Nothobranchius furzeri: one gene and its partner. The protein of the gene in region 2 purifies or fractionates together with the protein of the main gene of each other region. This does not show direct contact. Links are inferred from orthologs where the notes say so. Each region holds a gene or a part of one and is shown on either strand. Other genes may lie near its edges.

Region 1 (3,243 bases), on a different chromosome or scaffold from region 2:
ACTGCCCCCGCGACCCGACTCCGGATAAGCGGATGAAAATGGATGGATGGATGGACTTTGACAATCAGCACCCCATTACTCTCGTAGCACCATCATCTTAAGTAAGCATATACCTTTCCTCTCTTTGTCTGATTGTATTAAAGATCCTGACATCCAGTGGTGATGGAACATGTGCATTATGGGATGTTGAGAGTGGGCAGCTGCTGCAGAGTTTCCATGGACATGCAGCAGACGTACTGTGTCTGGACCTGGCTCCGTCTGAGACAGGAAACACTTTTGTTTCAGGGGTGAGCATGCTCTCTGTGCTGCTTATTTAAATGTTGGACGATTTTCATTGCCGGAGTCGCATTAATCTTTCCTGTTTCTGCAGGGCTGCGATAAGAAGGCTAACGTGTGGGACATGCGTTCAGGACAATGCATTCAGTCCTTTGAAACTCATGAATCAGACATAAACAGCGTGCGGTGAGTCACGGTCCTGATCAGAAAAAACGTGATTGCTATTCTGACTGACTTTGTTTTATAATGTAGCCCAATTTTTTTCTAATAGATACTACCCAAGTGGAGATGCTTTTGCATCTGGATCAGATGATGCCACAGTAAGTTAAACTGTTAAACACCTCAAAGGGACATTTTCAAGTAAACTGAAATCGGTTGTTTTTGTTTCAGTGTCGGCTTTATGACTTGAGGGCAGATAGAGAAGTGGCTATTTATTCCAAAGATAGCATCATATTTGGGGTCTCCAGTGTTGATTTCTCACTCAGTGGTATGATATTATTTCCCTTCAATACTACTTTTGAATATATGATCCTCAATATTATTTAAAGGTGTGGTGTACTTGTTTATTCAATACATTTGCAGTGTTCTCTATTATAAATCAATGCCTTATGAGTCATTTAAATTTAAAAAAAGCTATGCTGCTTCTGTTCTGAGATGCAGAAGTTTACTGGTGCAGAGGTGGGCTGAAAACAGCTGGATTGCTCATTATTATTAATGATATGCCCACACCTCAGTTCTGACTGGCTCACAGAACGTGTTCAGCCGTGTTGAAAAGTCACCATCACCAGGACACTCTCCGCTCTCTCTCCTTGTTGGAAAAAAACAACAACAAAACAAACGAAAGCCCTCCTGTGAGTGGGCGCGAGCCAAGATGGGCGAGGCCATGAGTACAAATCCAGTGTGACATAGATATGTGAGGATTTTCAGATCCTAGCATTTCGCTGTATTTTCTATCAGAAGCTGATGCAGGAGGTAGGTGTGAAGACAGTTTTCATGTTCAGCCTGCATGAAAACTCGGAGTGACCGATTTTATAATCAGAAATAATAAAAAAAAAATTTTCAGGGAACCACACGTTTAAATATTGAGGATCTTGGCTCTTTCTTTGCTTACAATTATTACTTTTTAAAGATCGCTGAAAAGATTTGTGTGTATTTTCATTTTAACAGGACGGCTACTGTTTGGTGGGTACAACGACTACACTATAAACGTCTGGGATGTTCTCAAAGGAACACGGGTCTCTATTCTGTTTGGACATGAGAACCGTGTCAGCACGCTGCGTGTCTCTCCCGATGGTACGGCCTTCTGCACAGGATCCTGGGATCACACTCTTCGGGTATGAGACTTTTTTGTAACCTCTGAGATAACTTTTCAAGTTTCAGTGACTTCTGCAGTGATTGCTGCTTTTTCCTTTTTCAGATCTGGGCTTGAGCGTCGAGCCACAGTGACCTAGATGCTGAAGACACACTGATGTTTCTGTTTGCTAGAAAACAATCACAGAGATGGAAACACTTCTTGGATGTAGATAGAGCATTTCAATAGCTTTGTACATACTCCAGTCTCCTGGACAAGGATAGATTTACATGTCAAAGAGTAATTAAACCAAATGGCACGCTTACATTTCATTAAAACTGAAAGAAAATAGCACAGAAATATAGGTGCAACTTTTATTTTAAAAAAATGAAGAAAATATAAATAGTAGTAACTTGCATTGGTCTAGGCTAGAAGTGATTCAGTAAAGTTATTATTACATTTGTCCACTTGAAAGGAAATTAGCTATTTATTTAATTTACACAAGGTAATAAAAAGAGCAAAAGCATTTAGAGAAGGAAGACTAAATAAGTCTGATTATATCACTGATTGGACCTAGAGGGAGGATAGGATAGCCCCTTCTGTGTGAAGTCAACACCATGAAGTTTTAAAAAAGGCACAGAAAATTATATATTTCAGTTTTAAACCAGTTGAGCTGTGGACTAGAGAAATCTCTGGCCTTAAATACAAAAAAAAATCTGCTAATTTGAACTATTATTCAAAGAAACAGACAAAAATGTCACTATTATCAATGATGGTTCACCTGTCATACTTATACTAAGAAGGTAGATAAAAAGTTTTACATTCATGTTGATTTCTATCTTTAGTTATACAAATTGTTCACTTCCTGTTTACTTTTCTGCTGTATAAGAAACCAAAAAGTCTACGAATTCAGTAACAACTGACCACATTATTTATGCATTTATTTATTTTTGTGGTTCCCCTCTTGTGGTTTTACATTTAGGGAGATTAGGAAAATGTAGTCCCTCCTGTGCAGCTTTGATGGCTGTAAAGTTCACATTCACTGTAATTATTTTACTGTAGTTTAGTGTACAGATATCCAAGGGACTGTTATTCAGAATATTACAAACATAATAAACAGAATTTTGAATATTGCTCTTGTGTCTGTCATTCTTTATCTTTATATTACAGAGATTTTTTTATTATCAGGGAAAAAGTCTTGGAGTGAGATTTTATTTATTTAAATTTTGTGTGTGTAGGTGGGGTGGGGGGCGCTTTAGTTGCGGCAGTCTTTTAAAAATGAAATCACAGATCAACAATCCACAAATATGTAATTTTCAATAAAAGCAAATGATACATTAGTCTGTAGCTAGCTGCTAATTGCTCCTGCTTTAGCTCAGTAATTTGATTATGTTGAACGCAGGTAATTAAAATAGATTGATTGAGTTTTAGTGCTGCTAACACTAATTTGAACTCTGTTTTAGTTTTAAGAAGTATGTTTTCTTTTGAAGGAATCTCCAGGAAGTGCTAATGACTAATGCACTGGGTTATAGTTATGAACTTCTTGTAGAAACAAAGTTCGTCCAGCAGAGAGCAGTAAAATTCTCAATCTCGAAAATCAGGTTGAATTATCGTATTCGCATCTAGTTGACCTAATACGGGAAACATTCGTGTCCCGGTGACCCTGATGGCCGTTT
Region 2 (4,252 bases):
ACATAATGTGAATGAATGATGGATTTTCTGTAAAGTGCCTTGCGTGTCTAGAAAATCTCTATAATTCATTATTATTATCCATTCATCCATTGCCTATATCCACTTGTCCATGCAGGGTTTCAGGAGGCTGGTGCCTATCTCTAGCAATCTCTTGGCAAACAGGCAGCTTACACCCTGGAAAAGTTGCCAGTCCATTGCAGGGCAACACAGAGACACACAGAACAAACAACAAAGCACACACACTAAAGTGACAGTGTGTATTTTTCCTGGCGATAGGGGGCACTAGATAACTAAATTGTTGCAAGCAAGCTGTAGACGTTTCTCAATGTCAAGGCGCCTGGCCTTGCGAGGCAATATCTTGCGAGGCCAGGTGCCTTGCTTACGAGGACACTGTCCTTCATTGGTCAAAGAAAAGGGTTAAATGGAACAGACTTGCATCACGTGACCGCGGCTTCCACGGCAGAACCATAACGTCACGTGACACAGGAGACAACGTTATATTTTACATGTATAAGTTACAATATAAATATATAACGAGACTTTTACTTTTTAAATTGTGTATATATTTGTTAAATTAAAAATATAAGTGAGTTACTACCCGCTAGCCACCGAAGCTGCAACTACTAAGCAACTAACCAACCATAGATAACTTCTTTGGATCTAAAAAAGCATTTTAAATTAGTTGTCTTACTTTTAAACATGAAATTTGCTTCCGAAGTAGCTGCCAGCTTCTGATCCACCGTCCTTTTGAAAATACTGGGGTGTATTCTGGGCAATTTTTGACCACGGCTAGGCTACAAGACACCTCCCGTGTATCCTTGCTCAGCTAGCTAAACGGCTAACACATGGAGAACAAACGCCTCGGTAGAACATGAACACTGGAAAATGTCTTGGTGGCTCCTGATGATGTATCTCCTAGGCAACCAGGATGGGGCCAAGACATCAAGGCGAGGTTCCTTGAGAAACATCCTGTATTTTTGTGTTGGAGTAAGACTTTGCAACAGATGCCCATTAGGGTCAAAAAGCCCTGGGGAGTGCAAACTTCAGCAAAATAACAAACACATCAAACTTCCTTTCATCACTGGCAACTAGCAAAGAGGTAAATGTGTAAAACAATGTTTATGAATGGTGAAAGTTTTATAATCATTTGCTACAAATCAGTAAATGCATTTTGTCCTCAAGGGCTCCCATAGAAGGAAACATGGCATCTAATATGGCATCACCCAGAGACACGACCCACTCCCATGTATTTTAGACCTGATTTTTATGGTTTTATGGTAAGAAGTCACCAATATTTTTTCAACAACATTTTGATGGATGTTTCCAGAGATTAACGATACAAACTACACTCTGTTCCTTTAAAGACAATTTAGAGAAATTAATCAACCTGGCAGTCATGTTTTTGGACTGTGGGAAGAAGTCGGAGTATCCAGAGAGAACCCAAGCATGCACAGGGAGAACATGCAAACTCCATACAGAGACCCCAGGTTGGGATTTGAACCCAAGACCTTCTTGCTGCAAGGTAACAGAACTAGTCACTGTGCCGCTGTGCATCCCCATTGTTATTATTATTATTGTTGTTGTTGTTGTTGTTGTTATTATTATCATTATTATTAATAGTGTTATTATTATATTAATGTTGTTGTTTTTATTATTAATACTAATTATTATTCTTATTATTAGTGTTATTGTTATTCTTATTGTTGTTTTTATTAATAATAATAATAATAATAATTATTATTATTATTATTATTATTATTATTAACAATTATTAACAATAATTTATTAATATTTATAATAAAACACATGGTCATGGTTCAACCAGCTATAAGGGGCAATAAAGCTAACAATGAGGTGTATGCAGCATTTTGACCATGGGAACTCATATAAGTCTTATCTTGAATAATGATTGGCTTCTGCTAAAACAAGTTTAGATTAATATATAAAAGTCTAAATTAAACTGGAGTTATGTAAACTTTTCACCACATCTGTATGTTTCACTCACTCGCTGAAACTAAACCAATAAACTGAGAATGTTTGCAGAGCCTGTAAGTAACACACATTGAATGGTAAGTGGTGTTTCAGGCAGGAAGTGTGTCATCCACAAAGCAGCGGACCTCAGTCCAGAAAAACTGGTTTGTGTTTTACTCGACACCTGAAAAAAAATCATCCAAAACCAGGTGTGTGTGTGTGTGTGTGTGTGTGTGTGTGTGTGTGTGTGTGTGTGTGTGTGTGTGTGTGTGTGTGTGTGTGTGTGTGTATCACCAGTTGGTTGAGTTCGAAAGCAAGCAGCTGCCATTTTCTCCTCATATGGTTCCATATCCCCAGTACAGAGGAACCAATTACCACAGGAAACAAATGTTAATGGGGCTCTTGACATTTACCCATAATACTCCCACTTTGCCCCCTGCTGCTGTGTGAAATAACAGTCAGCTTCACAGGGAAGACTGGCAGGATACCATTACAGCAAGACTTCTGCTGGCCTAAAACACAGACGCCTCACTCACTGATCTATATTAAACATGCTGTCTGTACAGCTTAAACACCGGCCTGCATCAGCAGTTTAAACCTGTCTGCTTAATGAAAATCATACATGATAAGAAATGCATTTATTTTGACTGTAAAATAGGAAAAAGAACAATAAAGCCACTCAAAGCTGATCCCTGATTTCCTCAGAATGTTCTTGAAGCTTCTAATGTTGCATTTAAGTGTTACAAAATAAAACACAGCTTCAATATGTGCCACTTATCACAATAAAACCACATAAATGTGTGCAGATTCATCTAAATGTTCCATCTCAGAGCTTCTCTTTTGTCTCAGGTGAGAGAGGGAGATGAAGGTCACGCCACATGTCGCCTTTAACGGCGGCTCTGAGCCCATCCTGGAGGCAGAGCCATCGTTAATTATTTGAAGGAAGGAGGGAACCAATTGAAGCCTTCCTCCTCATCTTTGCTGCTAACCTCGCTTCGTTTGTTGCTGTTTCTCTGTAGCAGACCCTGTTGAAGATCAGAGGGATCTCACTGTAGCTGTCTTTCCTCAGTCTGGTGAGTAGAAACTATCCAGAACAACTGCTGCTTTATGATTTTATTATGTATATTATTAGTCTTACATTGTAAACGAGTCACTCGGCCACTAAAATGCTAAATAATTGTTGTTTTAGGTCATTTCTCTTGTTAATAAGTCTGATTCTGCAGAAATCCTTGCAAAAACAACAGCAGATAATTCAAATGAAAAAATGGAGGCACAGGATTAAGTTAGTAAAGTATCATTTTCTATGTGTAACATGTTAATATTAAGTGCATTTACACCATCAGCAGGTCCTCACCTGCTTTGCTCTCCTTTCTCTGGGGAGGGCTGCTCTGCCTCCGCTCCCCTGCCCTCCGCTGAGACCCTTCCTGCACCTCTTGCAGCTGAGACCCAGGGAGCACAATTAACAAGCAAATTGAAACACACTCTAACTTGTCCCTCATGTGCTTTTAATGCATGCAACGTTTTTATTTTATTCCTGCAAACATAATTGCTCCTGTACAGTTTGCTGCAGGCTGGCTGACTCTAGTGGGACGGCGGAGGATGTCTAACAACATGGCCAAGATCGCTGATGCAAGGAAGACGGTGGAGCAGCTGAAGCTGGAGGTCAACATAGAGAGGATGATGGTGAGTTGATGAAACTCAAATTCAAAACGAGTTAAATTTGTCTTTTACTACAGTTTCTGTTCCAAATTTGCACAAAATGTGCATTTATGTTATCACAGTTTAGAACAAGTGAAATAAAATGGATTTAACGAAGAGTGTCTGCTTTGATTTGAAATAACCCAACGCCTTATCTCGTCCCTTTTGAAGCTCCGATGGTAACACAGCTGTTTTTGTGCAGGTGTCCAAAGCTGCGGCTGAGCTGATGTCCTACTGCGAGTCTCACGCCAAAGAGGACCCTCTGGTGACACCCGTGCCTTCATCAGAGAACCCCTTTCGAGAGAAGAAGCTTTTCTGTGAGATTCTGTGACTGCTGCACCCATTCCAGCTCAAATGTTGTTAATGTTAAAATGAATGTAGATGTTGGTGTGAAATGATCAGCTTTAAACCATGCTAATGATGGCAATAAAGTTTTAATAAGAGATGGGTCAAAGTTCGTTCCAGCACCAACACGATTTACACATTAACCACAATCTCAGCGAACTCCATTTTTCCCTCCAAAGTTTCAAGAAAATCACAGAAATCTTCAGTGTCAAAAAATGACCCCAATTAAATGAGCTGA

What was found.
Region 1: the proteins of gng8 (region 2) and gnb5a purify together in Homo sapiens (co-immunoprecipitation; 3 studies listed by BioGRID and IntAct, with this or other methods). This does not show direct contact. The link is inferred for Nothobranchius furzeri from reciprocal best matches to the Homo sapiens genes GNG8 and GNB5.

What each region holds. Positions count from the first base shown.
Region 1 is NC_091744.1:64,508,522-64,511,764, forward strand, and holds the end of gnb5a (guanine nucleotide-binding protein subunit beta-5a), read left to right. Parts: intron 1-143; coding exon 144-287; intron 288-370; coding exon 371-462; intron 463-547; coding exon 548-596; intron 597-666; coding exon 667-763; intron 764-1,443; coding exon 1,444-1,610; intron 1,611-1,693; coding exon 1,694-1,705; 3' UTR 1,706-2,701; downstream 2,702-3,243. UniProt on the Homo sapiens protein: Enhances GTPase-activating protein (GAP) activity of regulator of G protein signaling (RGS) proteins, such as RGS7 and RGS9, hence involved in the termination of the signaling initiated by the G protein coupled receptors (GPCRs) by accelerating the GTP hydrolysis on the G-alpha subunits, thereby promoting their inactivation.
Region 2 is NC_091750.1:45,718,370-45,722,621, forward strand, and holds gng8 (guanine nucleotide-binding protein G(I)/G(S)/G(O) subunit gamma-8), read left to right. Parts: upstream 1-1,392; 5' UTR 1,393-1,522; intron 1,523-2,990; 5' UTR 2,991-3,044; intron 3,045-3,531; 5' UTR 3,532-3,570; coding exon 3,571-3,654; intron 3,655-3,871; coding exon 3,872-4,000; 3' UTR 4,001-4,112; downstream 4,113-4,252. UniProt on the Homo sapiens protein: Guanine nucleotide-binding proteins (G proteins) are involved as a modulator or transducer in various transmembrane signaling systems.